3 linked regions of the Lytechinus pictus genome follow. The protein of the gene in region 1 interacts with the protein of each later gene in a biochemical or structural test. Links are inferred from orthologs where the notes say so. Each region holds a gene or a part of one and is shown in the gene's direction. Other genes may lie near its edges.

Region 1 (7,988 bases):
TTCTTCTTTGCCTGCATGGGACTGGCATCTACACGAAATTATTTTACTTATGTTTTCTTTATGTTATGAATTATATGTTTTTAGATAGGCAGATCCCTGTGGAAGACCAGCGATTTTTGTTAATGAAGGTCTTAATAATTGTATATATTGTGTAATTTTGCATATTAAGTTGTACAACGCTGAACAGGCACTTCTGGTTAAAGATTTGAAATAAATAAATGAATAAATAAATTATTTTCGTTTTAGTCATCATATTTTATGAAGTTCACCGTCCCTATATATTTCCAATTTCCAACCTTTATGTTATACAGTACCCAGATTTTGCCCAACAAATAAACATTGCAAACCATATAGTAATATATGATTAAATTAGTTATTATGTATCAGTGGATTTTTCCTTGATATGCATTCCAATAACATATCATAATCATGATAATTATAAAACGTATATTAGCTGAAAATAATCCATGGAACCATTTTTGAAATACCTCTACAATTTCAGAATACTTTAACTCTGCATTGGAATTATACTGCAAAGAATGACGAATATGACCTCGAGTTTGAATAAACGGTAGATCAGTTAGAGATGTTTCTTCTCATATACAAAGCATTGGCCCGCATTGGCGCAACATATTGTTGGTGAGTTTAAAAACAAGCACATGAACCCCTATTACTTGATGTTTACACCTCGTAAGTATACTTTCCTCTCCAACTTTGCAAATTTTGGTAAAAATGACATATGCGTTTTGGAAAAAGTGTAGCATTTATTGTACTTCGCAAATTTGTTACAGAAATTTCAAATTTGTGAGATAGCTATTGTGAATTGAAGGTGCTGCTAGCATTAAAAGGGCAATCAAATAACAATGTGAATAGATTATCCATCTTAAGTATACAATTTGAATTATACTGTGATGAAATTTACAGGGATTTTGATTGAATTATTTAAACTCAACGTGAAGTCTGAAAATGTCCAAACCCTGTGAATACAAACTTCAAATTGGGTGAGCTGATAGCAAAAAGACAAGCACATGAACCCATTTTATTATTATGGTTTTTTTTTTGCATATTTGGAATAATTAGGTGCTGAAGCTTAAAATGATTTCATTTTAACTGTGGAACGTCCTTAAGGACTATTTTTAGAAAAGGAATTCATGATGAAGAGCATATACATATCGATATCTCGCCATCGTCATTTAATTTGAAGAAAGAAAAAAAAATTGAGCGTCAAGCGCTCACTGCTGATTTTTTAGATTCACACCTAAACACATATGAAGAACTTTTGTAGTCATCTGTTGCGTATCCAGCATCAGATCCTATTATGAAAGCATCATGGGCCCAATAATGAGGGACAATAGTGACTGTATCATGCTTTTGCACGGGCCCATACATTTTCTTTGTCGTAGTTGATGCTGGATACGCTGGTGGTTGTAATCATGAAGATGATACGTAGGCCTATTTCACTAATCAAATATTGCGAGCGCGAAGCGCGTGCGCGTGCTGATACCCGAACTTCATGGTATTTTAAGACTTGTTTGTAGGAATTCATTATACGTATTGCACTAACCAAAATAATGAGAGGAAATATATTTGGTGAATATTTACTTGAAAACGAGACCCGCCCCCCCCCCCCCCTATTGGCGGAGCAAAAAAAAAGAAAAAAAAGGGGGAAAGAAAGAAAATAAAAGAGGAGAAAAAGAAGGGGAAACATAAAAGGAGGAAGACGAGTGAATAAAAAAAGATGAGGGGAAGACTTGGAAGAAAATTTCAAAAATTTTCATGTCACTATAAACAATTATCGCTTTTTGGTGATTAACATATCTTGCTCAATATGGAGCTTAAAATATCAAATTTTGAAGTCAATTTACAAAACACGTTTCAGCTCGGAAATCATTATTTTGATTGATTGACATTTATTTTTTAAAAGTGCTCTGCAAAAATTTGTGTTTTATGGTCTGAATATTAACATTTTATGCTCGCGCTGCGCGCTCGCAGAATTTGTTTTGTCAGATACCTTTTATTTCCCGGTATTCCATAAAGTTCTCGAAATTATCCCTAATCAGTTATATGCATATCTCAGTATTCATTCTATAACAAACTACTTAAAGGGATGGTCCAGGCTGGAAATATTTATATGTCAATAAATAGAGTAAAATTCACAGAGAAAAATGCAGAAAAAGTTATTGAATTTTAAAGATTTGCATTATTCCTGTGAAACAGTTCTAAGCATGTCTTCATGAATATTCATTAGGTGGGCTGATGATGTCATATACCCACTTGTTCTTTTGTGTTTTATTTTATGAAATCAGGTTTATTCAAAAAAAAATCTACCAAGAACTTAAACAGTTGGATCGACAACTGATTAAGTGCATCAGTTTTTATTGCCGCAATTTATTTCATCATAATGGAGACACATCATTTTCACATGTGTGACAATATGAAACATTTGTGATTTCATGTAATAACATAAGAAAAAGGAAAATGGGGATATAACATCATCAGCCCAACTTATGTATAATCATGACGATGTGCATAGAACTGTTTTCACAAAATATTGATAAAATTTAAAATTCAATAATTTCCATATTTGTCAGTGTTTGTTATCCGATTTTGATGAAATTTCAGCATTTTGCTTTATGAATTTCACTCCATTTATTTAGATATAAATATTTTCAGCCCTGACAATCCCTTTAAAATCCCCATTCATGACAGTTTATCTAAAATTTCGGCTCACGATTTGCGCTCGCATTGATTGTTGAAAATATATTAATTCATGCATCTTATTCATAAAGTGCTTTAAATGTCCAATTTTCAGGCCATAATATTAACAGATTTCACGCTCTCACGAGGCTTATTAGATTAATAAATAAGATATTAATTTACAAATCAAATTGTCTTTTTTCAGAAAGGAATTTCAACAAGTTTCATCTAGCGCTTAGGAAGAGAAATAGGAAGATAGTCATCATTTTCATATGACGACATAATGTTCGTAGAATGCCCCGGGTCCTATGTCAAAACTCAAAGTAAAAATAATGAAACATATCCATGATATCAGCTCTTTTTTAACTGTGATCCATATCCACCTCACAATTTTCCTATATACAAAGTGCTTGAAATACAGAGCTGAAATTGACAATTTTTCAGATCGGAATATCAAATATTTTAAGCCATCGCTTCGCGCTCGCTTTTCATCCATTCAATGATCTTACCACATCAAAATAAATTTATAACTGTTTAATCCAAAGTCAAATTGACAATTGTTGTGAAGTATGGGGTTTACGATTTATCACACAAACGAATAAAAATAATAACACTTCAGAAACTTGCTGCCAGAATATAATACTCAAACAGAGCTCACGTCCTCAGCCCGTCTGATCAATAAAAAAAAACTAGAATGGTTCTCCTATCACCAAAGAGTAATGTATTTCCGATGTATATTAATATTTTAGAGTCTAAATAATTTATCTTCCGATGTCTTTAATGATAACTTTAAACAAGATCTGCCTCCAACCTACAACTCGATGTCCCAAAATGCAATACTGATACTATAAATACTCATTCATTATCTCCTCAATATATCAATGTTCAATTCCTTGCCCCTTCATTTAAAAACCATATCCACCCTCTCTATTTAAAAAAAAAAACTCAAATCATATATTATGTCCGGTGTTACAAATATTTTAATGACTCCGACTTTGCATGCCTTTCTGTATTCTAATATGTATGATTTATATAATGTTTTTACTTTGTATATTTTTATCACTTGTATATAGGCCTACGTGTTTTTTGTAATGCTTTTAGGGCCCCTTTTGATACCAGCCTTTGCTGACAGGGCACCCTATGGAAATATTATTTGAAGAAATAAATAGGTAAATAAATAATTGATTTTCATGATTGAAAAGGTATTTAGAATGCCTAGATTCTAGGCCAAAATCTGAAACACGCGCGCGTATATGCATGTTCAGATACGCAGCTTGTTCTCTATTTAAATTATTATCCAGTTTCAGATCACAATATTAAAAAAAAATCTGCTGGTGCTTTGCGCTCGCATTATTGATGTAGGAAGATTTCCAATTACTCATCCTTTTCATGATGTACCAAACATGAATAGAGTAGTGTCCCATATTTAAATGTAAATCTCGAATTTTTCCGCTCGCGCTTCGCTCGCATTTATTGTATATACTTATCCTTTTCACGATTGCAAAAAGTGCTTAGAATGTCCATTCTTCAGGTAGAAATGTCAAATTTTCAGCTCGCGCTTCGCGCTCGCATTACTAGTATTTGATTGTTGAAATATGTAACGTCTTCATGGCTAACTGCAAGCAGCCGTTAAAGGTCAAGTCCACCTCAAAAAAATGTTGATTTGAATCAATAGTGAAAAATCAGAAAAGCATAATGCTGAAAATTTCATCAAAATAGGATGTAAAATAAGAAGATTTTCACAAAATAGTTATATGCACAATTTAGTCACATGCAAATGAGAGAATTGATGATGTCCCTCACTCACTACTATAGTATTTCTTTTTTTTTTTTATTGTTTGAATTATACAATATTTCAATTTTTACAGATTTGACAATAAGGACCAACTTGACTGAGCCATAAAAATTATGTTAAACAATGGTAATTCCACATGTTCAGGGCAAAATAAAACTTTGTTTCACAGGAAAATGAGGAGAAAATAAGAATATTTCATATAATAAAATAAAAAAGAAATAGTGAGTGAGAGAGTGATGTCATCAGTTCCCTCATTTGCATACTGACCAGGATGTGCATATAACTATATTTTGTAAAAAATTAAGCGAAATTGAAAATGTCATAACATTCTCATTTTCCATCCGATTTTGATGAAATTTTCAGTGTTGTGTTTGTTGGATATTTCTCTTTTTATTCAAATCAACGTTTTGTTGGGGTGGACCTGTCCTTTAACAGGTCCCTTTTTGATCAACTAATTTTTTCATCAGGGGATTTTCGAACTCGTCAGCTGTTCTACTCCAGCAGACGATTTTTTCCAGAATAGCTGAGCGCGCTTCAAAAATTTCACGTGTTCGCCGGCCACGCGCGCGCGATGTATTCGTGTGGCCTGGCCTGTATTATTAAAACGACGTTATCATTCATGGTTATAAATTATGTTTTGTCACTTTTTATGTGATTTACAATATTTCAACGTGTCATTCAAAGATGGACCAGATCCTTATATCAGTCAGGCTCATTCAGTCTCCAAGGTTGGGTAAATTTTCCGGAAATGTAGCAGAAATGAGGATGCCTGTTCACGCGACGCAAAGTGGGGCCGAGATACGAGACGAGGTTGCTCGTCTCTCGGGACAGTCCCCCGCAGATATTCGCCTGATATTCGCTGGGAAGTTGATCACTGATGTGCAAACAATGGAGGTAGGCCTAACGTTAGATTAAGTGTTTAGAACTTTAGATTCTAAGTTACTGCGCCTGAATTAATGATTGAAAGAATGAATGAAAAGACGCAGATCCGCACAACGTCAACCAACAAAAAGGGTGACCAGGTCCAGGGTGGCGTTTCATGAAAGGACTTGTGACGTCATGTCAGAAGTTTTATCCGACAAGTCCCATTTTATCCGACAGTTACTATAGGAACAGTACCTCTCAGCCAATCAAAATCAAGGAAAGATGTCAGATCTGACAACTTGTCGGACGAAAATGTTGATGAAACGCTCCCCGGATTTCACAAAAGTCAAAAAGAAATACGTTATACGGGAGTCACAATCGACAAAGCACGCTGCACGAGCGGATCGACCAAGCCAGGCCTAGGCTTAATGAAAAAGATCAACAAAGAAGGCTAAAAATTAGAATTGTAAAAAAATATAAAGAATCGGAAGGGAGGATGAACGAAAGAATGAAGGAGACAAAGAAAAGAGATGAATTGAAAAGAAAGAAAGAAAAGAATAAAAGGGAAAGTGCAAGAAAAAAAATTAAAATAAAAGAAGGATAAAAGAAAGAATAAAAGAGAGAAAAATGAATAAAGAAAGAAAGGAAGGGAAGATGAACGAATGTGTGAAAGAAAAAATAAATGAGAGAAAGGAAAAAAGTAAGATAAAAGGAGGAAGAAAGAAAGAATGATGGAAAGAAAAATGATTCAGAAAATGGAAAAAGGAAAGAAAGAAGAAAAACAAGTAAAGTAAGGAAGGAAGGGAGGGAAAGACAGAAAGAATAAGGGAAAATAATTAGAAGGAAAAATTGAAAGAAAGAAAGGATGAAAGAGGGAGGAAAGAATGAAGGGAGGAGAGAATAAAAGAAGAAAATAATGGAAGGAGAGAAAGAACGAGAATAAAAAGAAGGAAGCAAAGAAAAGTTGAAGGAAGGAAATAAAAAAGGAAATATAAAAAAGAAAGAAGGAATTAAGAAAGAAAAATGAACATAGAGGGATAGAAAGGATCAGGAAAGAAAGAAAGATAAATGGAACAAAAAAGGGCAAGCAAGAAGGATAGGATGAAGAAAGGATAGAAAAGAAAGAAAGAGGAAAAAGTTCAAATTTCAAGCAAACAAAAAAGTCCAATCATCTAACAAAAATCTTAATAGCCTACCGGTAAAGGCGGTATTTGGTGTTTTTTAATATATATTTTTTTGAATAAAAAAAACTAAAATGTTTCAGAAATGAATAAAATTTCAAAGCAAAAAAAAATTTAAAAATTAGATGAAACATCGCGGCATCACACACAGGCATCTCTTCCATCCCATATTACAAGCTTGCACCGATCACAAGAAGACTCAAAACGAAAGCTGAAACAACATAGATCTGGTTATGAAAACTCAATACATCACCAAATCAGTAATCTGAGAAAATCAATCCATAATATAATTTAAAAAATTCCTGCCGATTTTGTGATTATTTTGGTGGAAAACTGTTACCAATATCATGTGAGATTGTTTGCACCATTTAGAATCTGCTCCGATCCTACATGCCGAGCTAGTAGCCACACACAGGCAGGAGGCCAATTCGTTTGCAGTGTAAGCTTCAAGTTTCAAGTTTAATTTTATTGATTTCAAATCCAAACATAAAGGATTACAATCCTTGGGTTAGCAAGAAAATCACCGCAGAACTTGCAAAAGTTTACAGTTATCGATTTTATAGTTGTCTTTGCCTTGTCATCTGTTGGTTATTTCAAGAAAATTCTTCACTTTTAAACGTATTAACTTTATTTTGTTCAATATTCTGAAATACGGGACAAATATGCGTCCCGGGAAGGGTCTGTCGGGACGCAGAGACAAATGAGCAAAATACTGTACGATACCGGGAAATACAGGACGCCTGGTCACCCTGACGCCAATGGCTCGAAAAGGGGGCTCGGGTACTACTGGTTACCCTGTGAGTGACACAGAATCCTGACATCGAGGCACAAACTGGACCCTCAATAAAAGGAAAAGTTAGACCTCTATGTCGAGTTATTTCTCGGTATCGATCAGCCTTTTTTACTTTTGTTTTCAATTTTGAAAGGAGAACGAACGAGACAGAACTTTCCCTTTTTTGAGGGTCCAGTTTGTGCCTCGATGTCAGGATTCTGTGTCACAATAGACCTTTATCTATATAATCGAGGTAAGTGCATAATTTATTTTTCCCCTTTTTATTTGGGGTGCTATTGCGACCCCATTCTACCCCATTTTGGAGAGCACTCTGCCTAATATTACACGGACGAGTCCTGGGCTCCGACCCGCTTTTCTATACAGATCTAGAGTCTGCAGGGCTTCGCGGGCCGGAGCTCCCTGGGTTAGGGTACTGCCTGGTGCACTCAAGGGTACATGCCGCTGCACACAGAAAAATCAAGCCATACAAAATTAGAAGTCGTGTGTTGTGGACGCCAGCAGTGACATCCAGCATACACGACCCACTCACCACTGGCCTGACTGGCACTACCACTAGATCTAGTTTAACAATTAAAATCCTCTGCCAAACACGGTTCCTTGTGCGAGGTTAGTTCTAACCTCGCACAGTGGAAGGAAGCTGGAATCTAGACTAACTTAA
Region 2 (6,921 bases), on another chromosome or scaffold:
CTGCCAAGGCAAGCTTATTAACTTCAGCAACCTCCTCCTTCAGTGTATCCATCTTGAACTTCAAGGCTGCCTGTTCTTGTCTAAACAAATCAACAATACATTCGAGCCATGCCTGCTGCCGCTTTTCGAATTCTGCGAACCAAGGAGGGGGAGTATTCTCCACAGCAGCGCCAGAGCTAGCGGCAGCACTCTCGTTGTTGGCATCGTGCAAATCTCCCAAAATCTCTAAGCGATTCTCACTACTCAAAGAAGGTCTTTTCTTTACAGGTGACTCACCTGGATCCCTTGGGCTTTGGTGTTTTAGGTGACTCATGATGTTTAACAGAATATATCTAATGACAAAGGTCTGTGAAAGTGTAAAATGAATAAACTAAGGCTGAATATAAACAGACGTCCACCGTGCGAGACTCCTCAGCGTGCCGCCATATTCCGATCCCAAAAAAACCCACTTATTTTTGTCTTTTTTTTTTCAAACTGCATGGAGCCTGAAATAGGTCTGAAATGTTTTGATAATAAACGATGATCGAAATTGGATTTCTGTTAGCGAATTGCAATACTAGTTGAGTGACTTTCTGTACCACCAGGAACAAGGAAAAATTTATTGCCATTGGTTAGACCACCATCTTGACTTTTATCATGGAAATTAGTTGCACAGCCATATAATTAAAACCATTTTTTAACTGGTTTGGGCTGAGGTTGGGCAAATATTTTCAAAATCTAAATGAATAAAAAAAACAAGGTAGCAGGAACCAAGCAATCAAGCACTTATTGTAACAAGGGTTTCATTAAAAAAAAATTGTAAAATTTTTGAATGAAAATTCATTATTCAGTTTTTGTCTCACCTATATAGGCGCCGCTTTTCCGACGGCGGCGACGTCAACACCAAATCTTAATAATTTATAATTGAAGGTTCAGTTTTGAAATGACAGCATAACTTAGAAAATATATGGACCTAGTTCATGAAACTTATACATAAGGTTAATCAAGTATCACTGAACATCCTGCATGAGTTTCACATCACATGACCAAGGTCAAAGGTCATTTAGGGTCAATGAACTTTGGCCGAATTGGGGGTATCTGTTGAATTACCATCATAACTTTGAAAGTTTATGGATCTGATTCATGAAACTTGGACATAATAGTAATCAAGTATTACTGAACATCCTGTGCAAGTTTCAGGTCACATGATCAAGGTCAAAGGTCATTTAGGGTCAATGAACTTTGGCCAAATTGGGGTATTTGTTGAATTACAGCCATAAATTTGAAAGTGTGTTGGTCTAGTTCATAAAACTTGGACATAATAGTAATCAAGTATCACTGAACATCCTGTGCGAGTTTCAGGTCACATGATCAAGGTCAAAGGTCATGTAAGGTCAAAGAACTTTGGCCACGTTGGGGGTATTTGTTGAATTGCCATCATATCTCTATAAGTGTATTGGTCTAGTTCATAAAACGTGGAAATAAGAGTAACCAAGTATCACTGAACATCTTGTGCGAGTTATAGTAGTTTTCAAAATCAGCACTGCTGCTATATTGAATCGCGTGATGCAGGTGAGACGGCCAGAGGCATTCCACTTGTTGTATATTTTCTTTTATTAAAGGTCAAGTCCACCCCAGAAAAATGTTGATTGGAATAAATAGAGAAAATCAAACTAGCATAACGCTGAAAATTTCATCAAAATCTGATGTAAAATAAGAAAGTTGACATGTTAAAGTTTCGCTTATTTTTCACAAGACAGTGATATGCACATTTCAGTGGCATGCAAATGAGACAGTCGATGATGTCCCTCACTCACTGTTTTTTATTGTTTGAATTATACAATATTTCATTTTTTAAAGGTTTGACAATAAGGACCAACTTGACTAAACTATATGGTATTAAACAATGCTAATTCCACATGCTCAGGGAGGAATTAATCGTTGCTTCACTTGACAATGAGGAGAAAATTAGAATATTTCATATAAAATACAAAAGAAATAGTGAGTGGATGATGTCATCAGTCTCCTCATTTGCATTCTGATCAGGATGTGCATATAACTGTTTTCTGAAATTAAGCAAAACTTTAAAATATCATAACTTTCTTATTTAACATCCAATTTTTATGAAATTTTTAGTGTTATGCTTGTTGGATTTTTTTCTTTTTATTCAAATTAATTTTTTTGGGGGTAGACTTTTCCTTAAACAAAAACTGATTACATGACCAATTAGTACTGATTGCGATCAATTACTTTCAAACACTTATTCACTGACACTTTAACAATTCTAACTTTGAGTATCCTCCTATTTCATGAAAATAAACAATAAATTCATGGTTATAAATCTTCTAAAATTTATTAAAAATTGAGTCATAAGCTTTTGGAGTGGATTTTTTCAAAATGAAAATTTGGAAAATGATTTTTGTGCAATCACATTTTGTACCAAATGCCTGTGTTTAGCTTTATTGTCTCATTTACAGGAATTGCAGATTTTTGGTAAAGTTGAATCATTCAAATGTTGCTGTAATTTTGGTATAAATAGGAAGTGAATACTATCCACTTTCTCAAATCATGGACCATAATATAAACACTTCTTTACATAATAATGTAAATGGATAAAAATATATGGCAAGTGAGGTATAATCAGTAATCTTTCTAAGTTAGTTGTATGCCCTAGGCCTAAACAGTTATGTTGTGGAAGATATGAATTGAAAAATATGCTTTACATTACAAATTTGTGATTTTACATGAAAATATTTCTATCATAAGAAAAAAAACCCACTCAGTTTTGTGATTTTTTTTTCTTTTTTATAACACCCATTCCAAAGCACGGAATGGGGTGAAATTTGCTGGATAAAATCTCTGTCTGTATCTGATATTAATTTAGATTGTGTAAGATGAATGTAACTCACAGTATTTAGTGCTCAAAGAACCCCTTTTGAAGAAATAGAAACATATTGCTGAGATAAAGCACTAGATATCTTAGATTTGAATACAGTGTGTTTGAATTTGACAGAGAATCTGCAGTTGCGAAAAGATTCAACGGCTGCAACACCTCTGTAACATTGGAATGCTAGGATAGATGATTGTATTGTATTGTATTTATTTTCCATTCATAAAAACATGCAAAATACAAACAAAATACATCAGATATAATTACAAAATAAAATGAATACATATGAATGGCTGGATTGCCCATTCAGAGTGGTAATTTTTACCACTCTGTTCTGCCTAGGGGTCCAGAACATAATAAAATAGATCAGATTGTATTATAAACATCATTAACAATAGAAAAGAACGACATTAAACAAAATATAAAGTAATGAAAGCTAGTCAGTAGACATAAAACTAAATATAAAGTTACGATTTCAAGCTACAAGCAAATACCCCCCCCCCCCCTTCCCGGCAAAACAATGCGTTGCTCAGATATCAATGTACTTCGAAACCTTAGAGCTCAAAGAAGTAATAAATGTAGTTAAGTTTTTGATAAATTTCATATCTAAAGGTAAGTCATTATATAGGCGTGAACCTCTATATATAAACATTCTACGGCAATTTTCTGTATTTGGTTTTATGATACTTACGTATGACCATTTACCAAAGCTTTGGCCAGGCTTTAAATTGACAATTTCCCCTGCATGGATAGTGTTTTAAATAAGTACTCGGTCACCGTCGAGGGCCAAATCAGTGAACCTTATATTTTAAGCTTGACCCTAACCCAAGTGGCAATCAGGGAAGCATTTCATCAATATTTTCGTCTGACAAAATGTTCTATTTAGTTCTCATTTAGGACGACATTCAAGTTTCAACTTCTCATTATTATCGTTGCAATGTTGTAAATATTCATTTACAACTAAATCTATTGGAATTATTAATTTGTTTACTGTTTGTTTATCTCTACCTTTCTACAACTACCAAAAATAGGAGACACAGCGTCTCAATACTGAGCCTGTACCAGGAATAAAAGCAACCCCAGATGAAGCAAATTGCAGACTATTCATGGTGACAATAGATGGACCCAAAGATGTAAGTATTGCCAAGGAGTGGAATGCTACTTCATGTATTTTCTCACTTTCTCTAATATGGTAAAGCCATTAGGTCTCATCCTATTACATCTATGACCAAATTGTCAAATAATAACTTGGTCTATATTTGCCTTTCATTTAGAATGCCTTGTCATCTGCCTGTATGATAATTCCGAATTAATTTTTACTAATGATTATCTTATTTATTTCTCCCTCTCTCATCAGTCTCCTTTTGAAAATGGGACTTTTAAACTAGAACTTTTTCTTCCTGAAGAATATCCAATGGCAGCACCAAAAGTACGGTTTATGACAAAAATTTATCATCCTAATGTGGATAAATTGGGACGTATCTGCCTTGATATACTCAAAGGTAAGTACAACTATTTTACTAATAAATCTGCATGCTTTTTTGTTCATTTTTTTTGTCTCCCCTTCCCCTGGCAAAATTTCATAGTATACTTTGTATTTATGTGGCTACATCATTATTGTATGCACTCTAACTGCCCCATTTTAAAGTGATTTCTTTGGAATTAGTCCAAAGGTGTATCTTTAAAACTGAACCTTTGGTGAGGCTACCATCAGCATTTGGTCTTTTAGAGGTTACTGTGGAAGATTTGTGTACACTCTTAAGACTGCCTTTCTTGACAGATTACTGCAAAATAGAGGTGTATCGTGGTGTAATTTAAGATGCTGCCACCAGTGTTCTGTTGTTGGTAAAAGTTCATATCGTAGATGAAAAATGTCATGGGGAGATTATTTACCCTCTTATGAATATCAGTGCCAGCGATTGATCCTTATCTAGAGCTGCAGAATGTGTCAAACTGAAATATTGTAAAAACAAGGGATCACATCATTTTTGTCTCGCCTGCATTTCAGAGCGAGACTATAGACGCCGCTTTTCCGGCAGCGGCGGCGTCAACATTGAAATCTTAACCAAGGTTAAGTTTTTGAAAAGTCATCATAAGAAAGTATGTGGACCTAGTTCATGAAACTGAGATATAAGGGTAATAGTGTATCACTGAAGATCATGCCAGAGTTTCAGGTCACATGACCAAGGTCAAAGGTCATTTAGGGTCAATGAAATTTTATGATGTTGGGGGTATTTGTGAATTTGTCATCTTAACTCTAAAAGTTATATATATTTCATGAAACTTGGTCATAAGAGTAGCCATGTATCCCTAAAAATTCTGTGCACATTTCAGGTCACATGACCAAGATCAAAGGTCATTTAAGGTCAATGAACTTTGGCCATGTTCAGGGTATTTGTTGAATTGGCATCATAACTTCGAAAGGTTATGGATCTCCACATGTAGTTCATAAAACAGACATAAGGGCAATCAAGTATGAATGATTGTTTTGCACACATCTTAGGTCACATGATCATGGTCAAATGTCATTTTTGGTCAATGGACATACTGGACTGTGGACATAGTATTTTATTATCACATGACTATGAGTTAGTTCTTTTGTGAATAAAAAATTATTAAATATCTGTTTTCAAAGTCAGCACTGCTGCTATATCGAATCACGTAATGCAGATGAGACTGCCAGAGGCATTCCACTTGTAGTTTAAATTATGAATAGATTTGTTAATTGATGACTATACAATATACATTCCATTGTGAGGGGAGATATGTCCTGGATCACTTAATTATTCTCAATTCATTGACATTAAACTCTCTTTTTTTCAACTCACATATTTTCTAAAGCTCTAAACTCATCTACACAGTTAGAGTGTGCTCTCATTATTCTTGAGGGAGTATCATTGTCTTTTATTTAAGCAAATTGTCAGCATTCATGCTTTCTTTATCAGGTAAAAAAAATCACCACCATATATCAAAAGTCAATCGAGTCACTCCTGCCTATCCAGTAATCTGGTGAAGACATTTTGTTTAGAAATGAATGATCATTGAGGCAATTGTCTTGGTGGTGTATTTCGGTATATGATATTTAATAGTCTCAAGGTTTGAAAGTATTCAGTGTAAAAAAATGTACATTAAATGGCAGGATAATCCTTCTTTGATGTTTGCAGACAAATGGAGCCCTGCTCTTCAAATCCGAACAGTGTTGTTGTCAATTCAAGCCCTTTTGAGTGCCCCTAACCCTGATGACCCATTAGCAAATGATGTTGCAGAGAGTTGGAAGTTAAATGAGGCTCAGGCAATTAAAACAGGTGAGTATTTGAATGTCTCATGCATCTCATACCTGATTATTGAAGTGTCGCATCCGATTACTTCAGCCCCCTTGCCACTCAATTCAATTTCCAAGTATGCAATATCACAGAAATCTATTAAAAGAGATCAACCACTTACTTAAATAACTAAGCTATACCTGAATTAGAATGACTAAATACAAGAAATTTTAAGTCCACTTCTATGGACTTCAAGTCAATTGTTCATGCAATCTGTAATGATGATAGTGAATAGCTGATCATCTAAGATCATCCCATACAAATTGAATTACATGTATTACTATTAATATTTTCCATCATTTCCCAGCTTTTTCTACTTTTTAGCTCATCTGGCCCTTGCTGTGGCGTGGTGTCTGTCGTCTGCCGTCCGTCCACAATCAAAATGCTTCTTCGCTATTTCAAGTCCGATTTCAATTCTGTTTGCTTTATATGATAGCACTAGGTGGGGGGATTCAAAACTTCTACACAGAATTTGAAACTCAATAAATATGCTTATTTATGCACACTTTTATAAATTCACAAAAAAATGCTTCTCCTTCTTTATTTGTTGACAGATTTTGAATTTTTTGCTTCCATCTGGTAGAGCTTGATGAGGTTCACCAAACTTCTACACAGAATTTTGAAATTTTGAGTAGAACAATTTTTATGCTAATTTATGCGTATTTTTAAAAATTCACCTAAAATGCTTCTTCTTTTTTAATTGTAGACCGATTTTTATTTTATTTTTCC
Region 3 (7,672 bases), on another chromosome or scaffold:
AACACATTAGTTTTGTAAAATTAAAGGCAAGACTAAGTACATAAATATTGGGTGGAATGAATTTCCAAGGTTTAAGTTGAATAATCAAAGCCAAAGTATAGTTGGCAAATTATAAAGTGGGCCTATTAAAGTGGCAGAACACTATATACGCTCTACCAGTCAGCAAAGTGATACAAGTACTGCCCCGTTTCAGATCTGAAAAGAACAGAACACAAGACTTAAAAAATGGTAACTCTGCAGTTGGCAAATTCATGAAGACAAGTCTACAACTTGTAGACTTGTCTACAAGTTTGCAGTTGGCAAAAAACACCAAAATGTTCTAAGTTATTTTTACTAAACTTTTTTATTTTATTTATGGTGTCAGAAGGTGCTTAGGATGGGGATGGGTGGGAGTGGGGGCAGGTTGGGGTTGCATCATTCCTGGTGCTCGCATTGTCTGACTAATGAGATATATAGTCCTACCCTTTTTACACAGGATTTTCTTAGCCCCGGACTATCGCTAACCCCTTACTATCCTTAACCCCGTACTATTTTTTTTCCTTTTTACACATGCCAAATTGTTATTGCTAACCCCGGATAAGGAATGCTTGCTTTTCACACACGAAACTCGCTAACCCCGGACTAGTGGTTTTTGTCGATCATTCGTAGTACAAGTACTTCACTCGTACCTTTTTACACACGCTACAAGGGATGGTCCGGGCTGAAAGTATGTATAGCTTAATAAATAGAGCAGAATTCACTGAGCAAAATGCCGAAAATTTCATCAAAATCGGATAACAAATAATAAAGTTACTGAAGTTTAAAGTTTAAAGTTTAGCAATATTTTGTGAAAACAGTCGTCATGAATATTCATTAGGTGGGCTGATGATGTCACATCTCCACTTGTTCTTTTGTATTTTATTATATGAAATTAGGTTTATTCAATTTTTTTCCTCAAAGAACTAGAAAAATTGGATTGACAACTGATTTAGTGCATTAGATATATATTGCTGCAACTTAATTCATTATAAGGGAGACATATTATTCACACAAGTATTAAATATTGAAAAAATTATGATTTTATGTAATAACATAAGAAAACGGAAAGTGGAGATGTGACATCATCAGCCCACCTAATGAATATTCATGACGACTGTTTTCACAAAATATTGCTAAATTTTAAACTTCAATAACTTTATTATTTGTTATCCGATTTTGATGAAATTTTCGGCATTTTGCTCAGTGAATTCTACTCTATGTATTAAGATAAAAATATTTTCAGCCCGGACCATCCCTTTAACCCCGTACTATAGGTGGGGCCAAATTGCCATTTAACCAGTGGCGTAGCTACGGGGGGCCTGGGGGGGCACGTGCCCCCCTGAGATTTGGTGTGCCCCCCAGGTGCCCCCCCCCCCCCCCCCCAGAAAAAATTGGCAGAGCAAAAAAAAAAGGAAAGAAAAAAGGGAGAAGAAAAGAAAAAAAGGAAAAGAAAAAGGAAAAGAAGAAGAAAGACAGAAGAAAAAAAGAAGAAGAAAATAAGAGGAGGAAGACGAGTGAATGAAATAATGTAATTAAAAAACAAATCTTTTTATGTTACTATATAAAATTTTTACTGGCGCTTCGCGCCAGAATTGCCTGTTCGATGAGATTCATATCTTGCTCAATAGGCTGATATGGAGCAAGTTTTGAAGTCAATATGCAAAACATATTTTAGCTCGACATCGAGCTTTCATTATTTTTTTTTCATTTACAAATTTAAGTGCTCTGTAAAATGTCCGTTTTATGGTCTACATATATCAGCATTTTAAGCTCACGCTGCGTGGTCACATTGTTTGATTTGCGAAGTTCATATTGTCTACGTGTATTCCATAATGTTCCATGTAACAAATGTATTCAGAATGCCCAGATTCTAGGTCTACATCTACAACACGCGCGATAGCCTGCATGTTCTTTATTTAAAATGTACATGTACTTGAATTATCCAGTTTCACATCAGAATATCAATAATTGTCTGCTCACGCTTCACGATCGCATTATTAATGATACCCAATTGACTATATCCTATTTATGATTTACAAAATATGAATAGAATGTCCCGCTTTGAGGTCTAAAATCTCAATTTTCTTCCTCTCGCGCTTCGCGCTCGCATCAATTGTTTAGTTACATACCTATCCCATTTATTAATACAAAAAGTGCTTAGAATGACAATTTTTTAGGTCGGAATGTAAAAAAAAATTTGCTCGCGCTTCGCACTCGCATTATCGAAATATATACCGTCTTCGTGGGTAACTGTAAGCAGTCCGTAACAGGTCCCTTTTCGATAATGCTAGAACAGTTGATAAAAATTTATGTTCGCGCTTGGCGTTCGCAGTAGCCATCTAGTTACATACGAATCTTGTTCAGGATCACACATAACATTGCCCAGAAAATTAGATTAAAAATACATGAGAGTAAAAAAAAAATCGCTCGCGCTTCGCACTCGCACTTTTTATCAGGCTTATGAGATTATTTCATGTTTATGTTGTTTTATAAGAATAAAACTAAGAAGTGACTGATATAGGTGAAGATAATTTCGGGCCCCGTCCCCTATTGGCGAAAGTCGGATCCGCCCAAAGTTGTGACACATACACACACACACCGGAAAAATGGTCGGTGCCCCCCCTGAAAAAGCAAGGACCCCCAGTGCCCCCCCGGGAAAAAAATCCTAGCTACGCCACTGCATTTAGCCCCACCTATAGTACGGGGTTAAGCTTAGCCCACTTTCGTTTTACACTAGCGATCTTAACCCCGTACTATCGCTCTTAGCACCGCAATTGCTGGGATAACCCTGCTTTTTTGCAGGGCCAAATAATCCCGTACTAAAGGTGGGGTTAGCCCACTTTGCAAAAATGCTGTGTAAAAAGAAAGTGGGCTAAGCTTAACCCCGTACTATAGGTGGGGCTAAATGGCAATTTAGCCCCACCTATAGTACGGGGTTAAGGAAATTTTAGCGTGTGTAAAAAGGGTATATGATTATGCACCAAACTCGCACTCCTCGCACTTCAAGTTATCATTGTTTTATGTAGTGACATATGCTTTTTTCATGACTATATACTTAAAGTGATTTAAGGCCTTAATAAAACATTTCCAGTCTGTGCTTACGTTCGCATTGGTGTGGACCGATATAGATACCGGCCGGGCTGGTGTTAAATCACCGGCGTTTCTGCAGTGCACGAATTCCTAAAGACAGTCCTTAAAATGTCCCTTTTTCTGATCTAATTATAACAAATTTTCAGCTCGCGCTTCGCGCTCGCATTACTTAATTAGTGAAATAGTAAATTCCTACAAACAAGCCATAGAATGCCCCTCTTCAGGTCTGAATTTCAAAAATTGTCAGCTCGCGCTTCTCGCCCGCAATATTTCATTAGTGAAATACGTATCATGTTCATGATTACAATGACCACAAAAAGTGCTTCATGTGCCAGTGTAATTCTAACAAAATCAGCAAGCGCTTGGCGCTCGCATTAGATGACTATGATGAGATACGTACGCACTTCATAAATTCCAAAAGATAGTCCTGAAAATGTCCCTTTTTAGGGTTAAGTTATACAAAAAATTTCAGCTCGGGCTTCGCGCTCGCATTGTTTGTTTTGAAGACAGATACGTATCATGATTACAAAACTTTGCTTATAATGTCCCTTTTTAGGACTGAATACCAAACATTTTCAGCTCGAGCTTCGCGCTCGCATTATTTGATCACTAAGATACATATCCGTTTAATGGCACAGTCCTTAAAATGTCTCTATATCAGGTCAGTATACCTGGCAATTGAGCGCGCTACGCGCGCCCACTTAATGACTCTAAATTTTTGCTGGTGCCCCCCCCCCCCCCCCATGCCGTGACCCACGGTACGCCACTGTTAGCAGTAGCATTCTTGAAATTTTAGTTGAGACATCTTGCACAGAAGGTCAATCAAAAATTAATAAATCTTTGATTTTGATATTATTAATGCATAGGGTATATCATTATATACTGCAAGTTAGCAACTACGGCACACTAGCCTTTCTATTTTGATCCAAAATGTTTATTTTTAAAGTGCAAATATCTTTGTATATCTTTGTATATAATTTACCTTAAAGTATTCACCAAATGCCACTAATTCAATTCTAAAAATTCAAAATCTTTTAGCAATTGATTATTGTAGGGGGGGCACATCCCCCATCAGACTCCCCCTGTGCTCACGTTGGCGCTGTCATGCCAAATTTAGTTGGCAAATTTAGCTGGTACACCCCCCCCCCCCCCCAACAAAATGCTTCTGGCTACGGCCCTGCAATTCAGGCCTACATTAATTATTTTATCGGGCTATCTGATTTTGATGCAATTCTATAATTATAATGCCTGTTTGGTTATGTTTCCTCGGTTTATTCATGCAATTCAAATTGTTTAAGGCTGCCTGAAATTAACCTCTTTTCTAAGAATACGAGAAATCCGATTATCATCTCTTCCCAATGCTGTGAAATTAACTTCGTTAGAGATGATTCACTTTTCTTGTTACGTTACGCAACTATAGTTACTACAGCAAATCACATGTTGTGTTCAAGCGAATGAGGGCTCTGTGATGTAAGTTCTTTCCGTATTGCCTGTATTTGGCAATATGATCATGACGTCGTACGCGCTGTTCGCCAGCTATCACTTCAACAAGTGTAGCTCGCACGCCCGTTTCTTTTGCCCTCAAGGTCGCGCGCGTGCGTGAATGGTAATTTCGTCGTACCGTACCGTACCGTAGATTCGATTGCAATGCAGTTTGCAGAAGATGCACGTAAAATACGCAAACTACAACAAATAGACAACGAAAAGGCTAATGAGTAACGATTCCATGATCAAGTTCCACTAGATTCTGGGCATTTGGTGCCTTTGTTTACGTTATTTACAATCTTTAGAACCTGTTTACTGTATAGTCGCAATGGCATTAAAAAGAATAGCAAAGGTGAGTTAGAATTTACAATCACAATTCACACTTTTTGTTTTGGACTTTTTTTTTCTGGACGTGCAGTTGCAGTGCATGGAATGGATCATGAATGTTTGTGTGTGAATCAGGATGTTCAGAATATGTTCTGCACTGCAGATGCAGTGTAGATCTATTCCAAACATGAATTAGACAAGGCCCTGTGTCTATAACTTACGTTTAGTAATATAATGTGTATCACTATCATGTGTATAATCCAACTCCAAGGGAGAGTGAGTAAAACTAAAAAGAGACGAGATCTAAAATTTAGTAAAAAGTAAAATCCCTAGTCGTAGACCACTCATCATGCTCATTCAACAATGAACAAACAAGGTTAATAATAATATGAATTATGATTAGACTCAGCTCAGCAGGCGATGGTTCATGATCATGTATGATGGTGGGCCCCAAGTCTGCGCACCTAACAATTTGAGTTAAGATTTAACATGAATTTCCTTTTTATTTCACAAAATCTTTGGTTAATAGTGTTCCTTATATTATTAAGAGTAAGTGTACCAAATTTCTCATTAAAAAATGAAAGAAAATATAAGATTTTCTTGAAAAAACCTCGGGCAGTCATTTTCAGATTGAAAAAAAAAAATGGTACCCCATGTCTGCGCACTCATTCACTTTGCACACGATTCGGGGATTTTGATGACAAAGGCTGCATTTTGAGGCCGTCACATGAAATGCCCTGAATTCATTATTTTTCAACCATTTTGAGTCGGATTTTTTTATGAATACCTGTCTATGTATTGCATGTGTAAAGATCGTGCTCGTTGCGTATCTTCTTTTACTAGAATCGCGCAGATACGCGGGTGCGCAGACTTGGGAGACCGCGCAGACATGGGGGAACTGACCATACTATAATGTAGGCTCCACAACACTGCACTACCGCTACACCTAACCGAACCCTCGGGCCACAAATACTCGCTCTCAAAAACTAGTAACAAACTGTCACTTTTTGCTAAGACTTTAATTTTAAGAGAAGCAACACGTCATTTTAAAAAAAAGTCTAAGGCTAAGCGTACTCTACTACGTGACTAAAGTTTAAACATAATTTGCGCACATTTTAAGAATTATGAAGTTGATTTTCAATCAACAGTTCACACAAAATTAATCAAAATCATAAAGTTCTACCAGTTGGAAGGCAAGATCCCAAAGTCAAATTCGCTTGACGGAATTATAAAGTAGGTCAAGGGTTTCGCTCGTATTGCGATCTCAAAATTCCATGGCGATCGACTAGTGCGCGCTTGGATGAAAAAGTGTCATAAAAAATTGTGACCTTAATTTGCGCACGATCGTTTTGCAAAGCTTTGGAAAATAAATCAAGCAGACAAAGGTAAGATAATTAGGGGAGATTGGGGTTAGTTGGAATATTTTTGACAAAAATGGCTGTAAAGTCCAAAGAGATTTTATTCAAGAAACAATATATCAGCTTTAAACATAGAGGCTACAAATGTACCCATAAAATTCTTTAAAGGGATGGTCCGGGCTGAAAGTATTTATAGCTGAATAAATAGAGTAGAATTCACTCAGCATAATGCCGAAAATTTCATCAAAATTGGATAACAAATAACAAAGTTATTGAATTTTAAAGTTTAGCAATATTTTGTGAAAACAGTTGTCATGAATATTCATTAGGTGGGCTGATGATGTCACATCCCCTTTTGTTCTTTTGTATTTTATTATATGAAATTATGTTTATTCAAATTTTTTTCTCCAAGAACTAGAAAAATTGGATTGACAGCTGATTTGGTGGATTAGATATTTATTGCTGCAACTTATTTCATTATAAGGGAGACATATTATTCACACAAGTATGAAATAATGAAAAAAAATGATTTTATGTAATGACATAAGAAAACAGAAAGTGAGGATGTGACATCATCAGCCCACCTAATGAATATTCATGACAACTTTTTTTACAAAATATTGCTAAACTTTAAACTTCAATAACTTTATTATTTGTTATCCGATTTTGATGAAATTTTCAGCATTTTTCTCAGTGAATTCTACTCTATGTATTAAGATATAAATATTTTCAGCCTGGACCATCCCTTTAACTCTATGAATGGTTACTGAAAAAATCCACCTTGAACAAGACCATCGCAAGTGTTCCAACTTACCCCCATATAAGGGGTAATTAAAGTTGGACCACTGCATGGTCAATTAAGAATTATACTAAAACTACTACCCGGTACATGTACATGATGTTACATGTAGCTTATTTGCTTATTTTTCATGTTCAAAATATTAAAAGTATTTATTCTGATTTGTTGAACTTGATGTTTTCTATTACACATATACAGCCACTCACACAAGCCGACTGTGTATTAAAATTGTGCATATTATTTTGTGTGCGTTTGATTTTACAAGCATTTAAGTGTATCAGCAATTTCATGTACTTTTGCACCAAATTTACATAACATTAATCAGATAATTATTTATACAATTTAGTTTTTGTCTCACCTGCATAGCAGAGTGAGACTATAGGCGCCGCTTTTCCGACGGCGGCGGCGGCGGCGACGGCGACGGCGGCGGCGACGGCGGCGGCGGCGTCAACACCAAATCTTAACCTTAGGTTAAGTTTTTGAAATGACAGCATAACTTAGAAAGTATATGGACCTAGTTCATGAAACTTGGCCATAAGGTTAATCAAGTATTACTGAACATCCTGCCTGAGTTTCATGTCACATGACCAAGGTC

Evidence for each region.
Region 2: the proteins of E3 ubiquitin-protein ligase parkin-like (region 1) and ubiquitin-conjugating enzyme E2 N form a complex in vitro, tested with the Homo sapiens proteins (6 studies listed by BioGRID). The link is inferred for Lytechinus pictus from reciprocal best matches to the Homo sapiens genes PRKN and UBE2N.
Region 3: the proteins of E3 ubiquitin-protein ligase parkin-like (region 1) and ubiquitin-conjugating enzyme E2 D1-like form a complex in vitro, tested with the Homo sapiens proteins (3 studies listed by BioGRID). The link is inferred for Lytechinus pictus from reciprocal best matches to the Homo sapiens genes PRKN and UBE2D1.

What each region holds. Positions count from the first base shown.
Region 1 is NC_087248.1:10,161,553-10,169,540, forward strand, and holds the start of E3 ubiquitin-protein ligase parkin-like, read left to right. Parts: upstream 1-4,984; 5' UTR 4,985-5,176; coding exon 5,177-5,386; intron 5,387-7,988. UniProt on the Homo sapiens protein: Functions within a multiprotein E3 ubiquitin ligase complex, catalyzing the covalent attachment of ubiquitin moieties onto substrate proteins. Substrates include SYT11 and VDAC1.
Region 2 is NC_087247.1:55,175,283-55,182,203, reverse strand, and holds the start of ubiquitin-conjugating enzyme E2 N, read left to right. Parts: upstream 1-3,898; 5' UTR 3,899-3,975; coding exon 3,976-4,002; intron 4,003-4,226; coding exon 4,227-4,371; intron 4,372-6,033; coding exon 6,034-6,174; intron 6,175-6,921. UniProt on the Homo sapiens protein: The UBE2V1-UBE2N and UBE2V2-UBE2N heterodimers catalyze the synthesis of non-canonical 'Lys-63'-linked polyubiquitin chains. This type of polyubiquitination does not lead to protein degradation by the proteasome.
Region 3 is NC_087262.1:4,913,000-4,920,671, reverse strand, and holds the start of ubiquitin-conjugating enzyme E2 D1-like, read left to right. Parts: upstream 1-4,649; 5' UTR 4,650-4,921; coding exon 4,922-4,945; intron 4,946-7,672.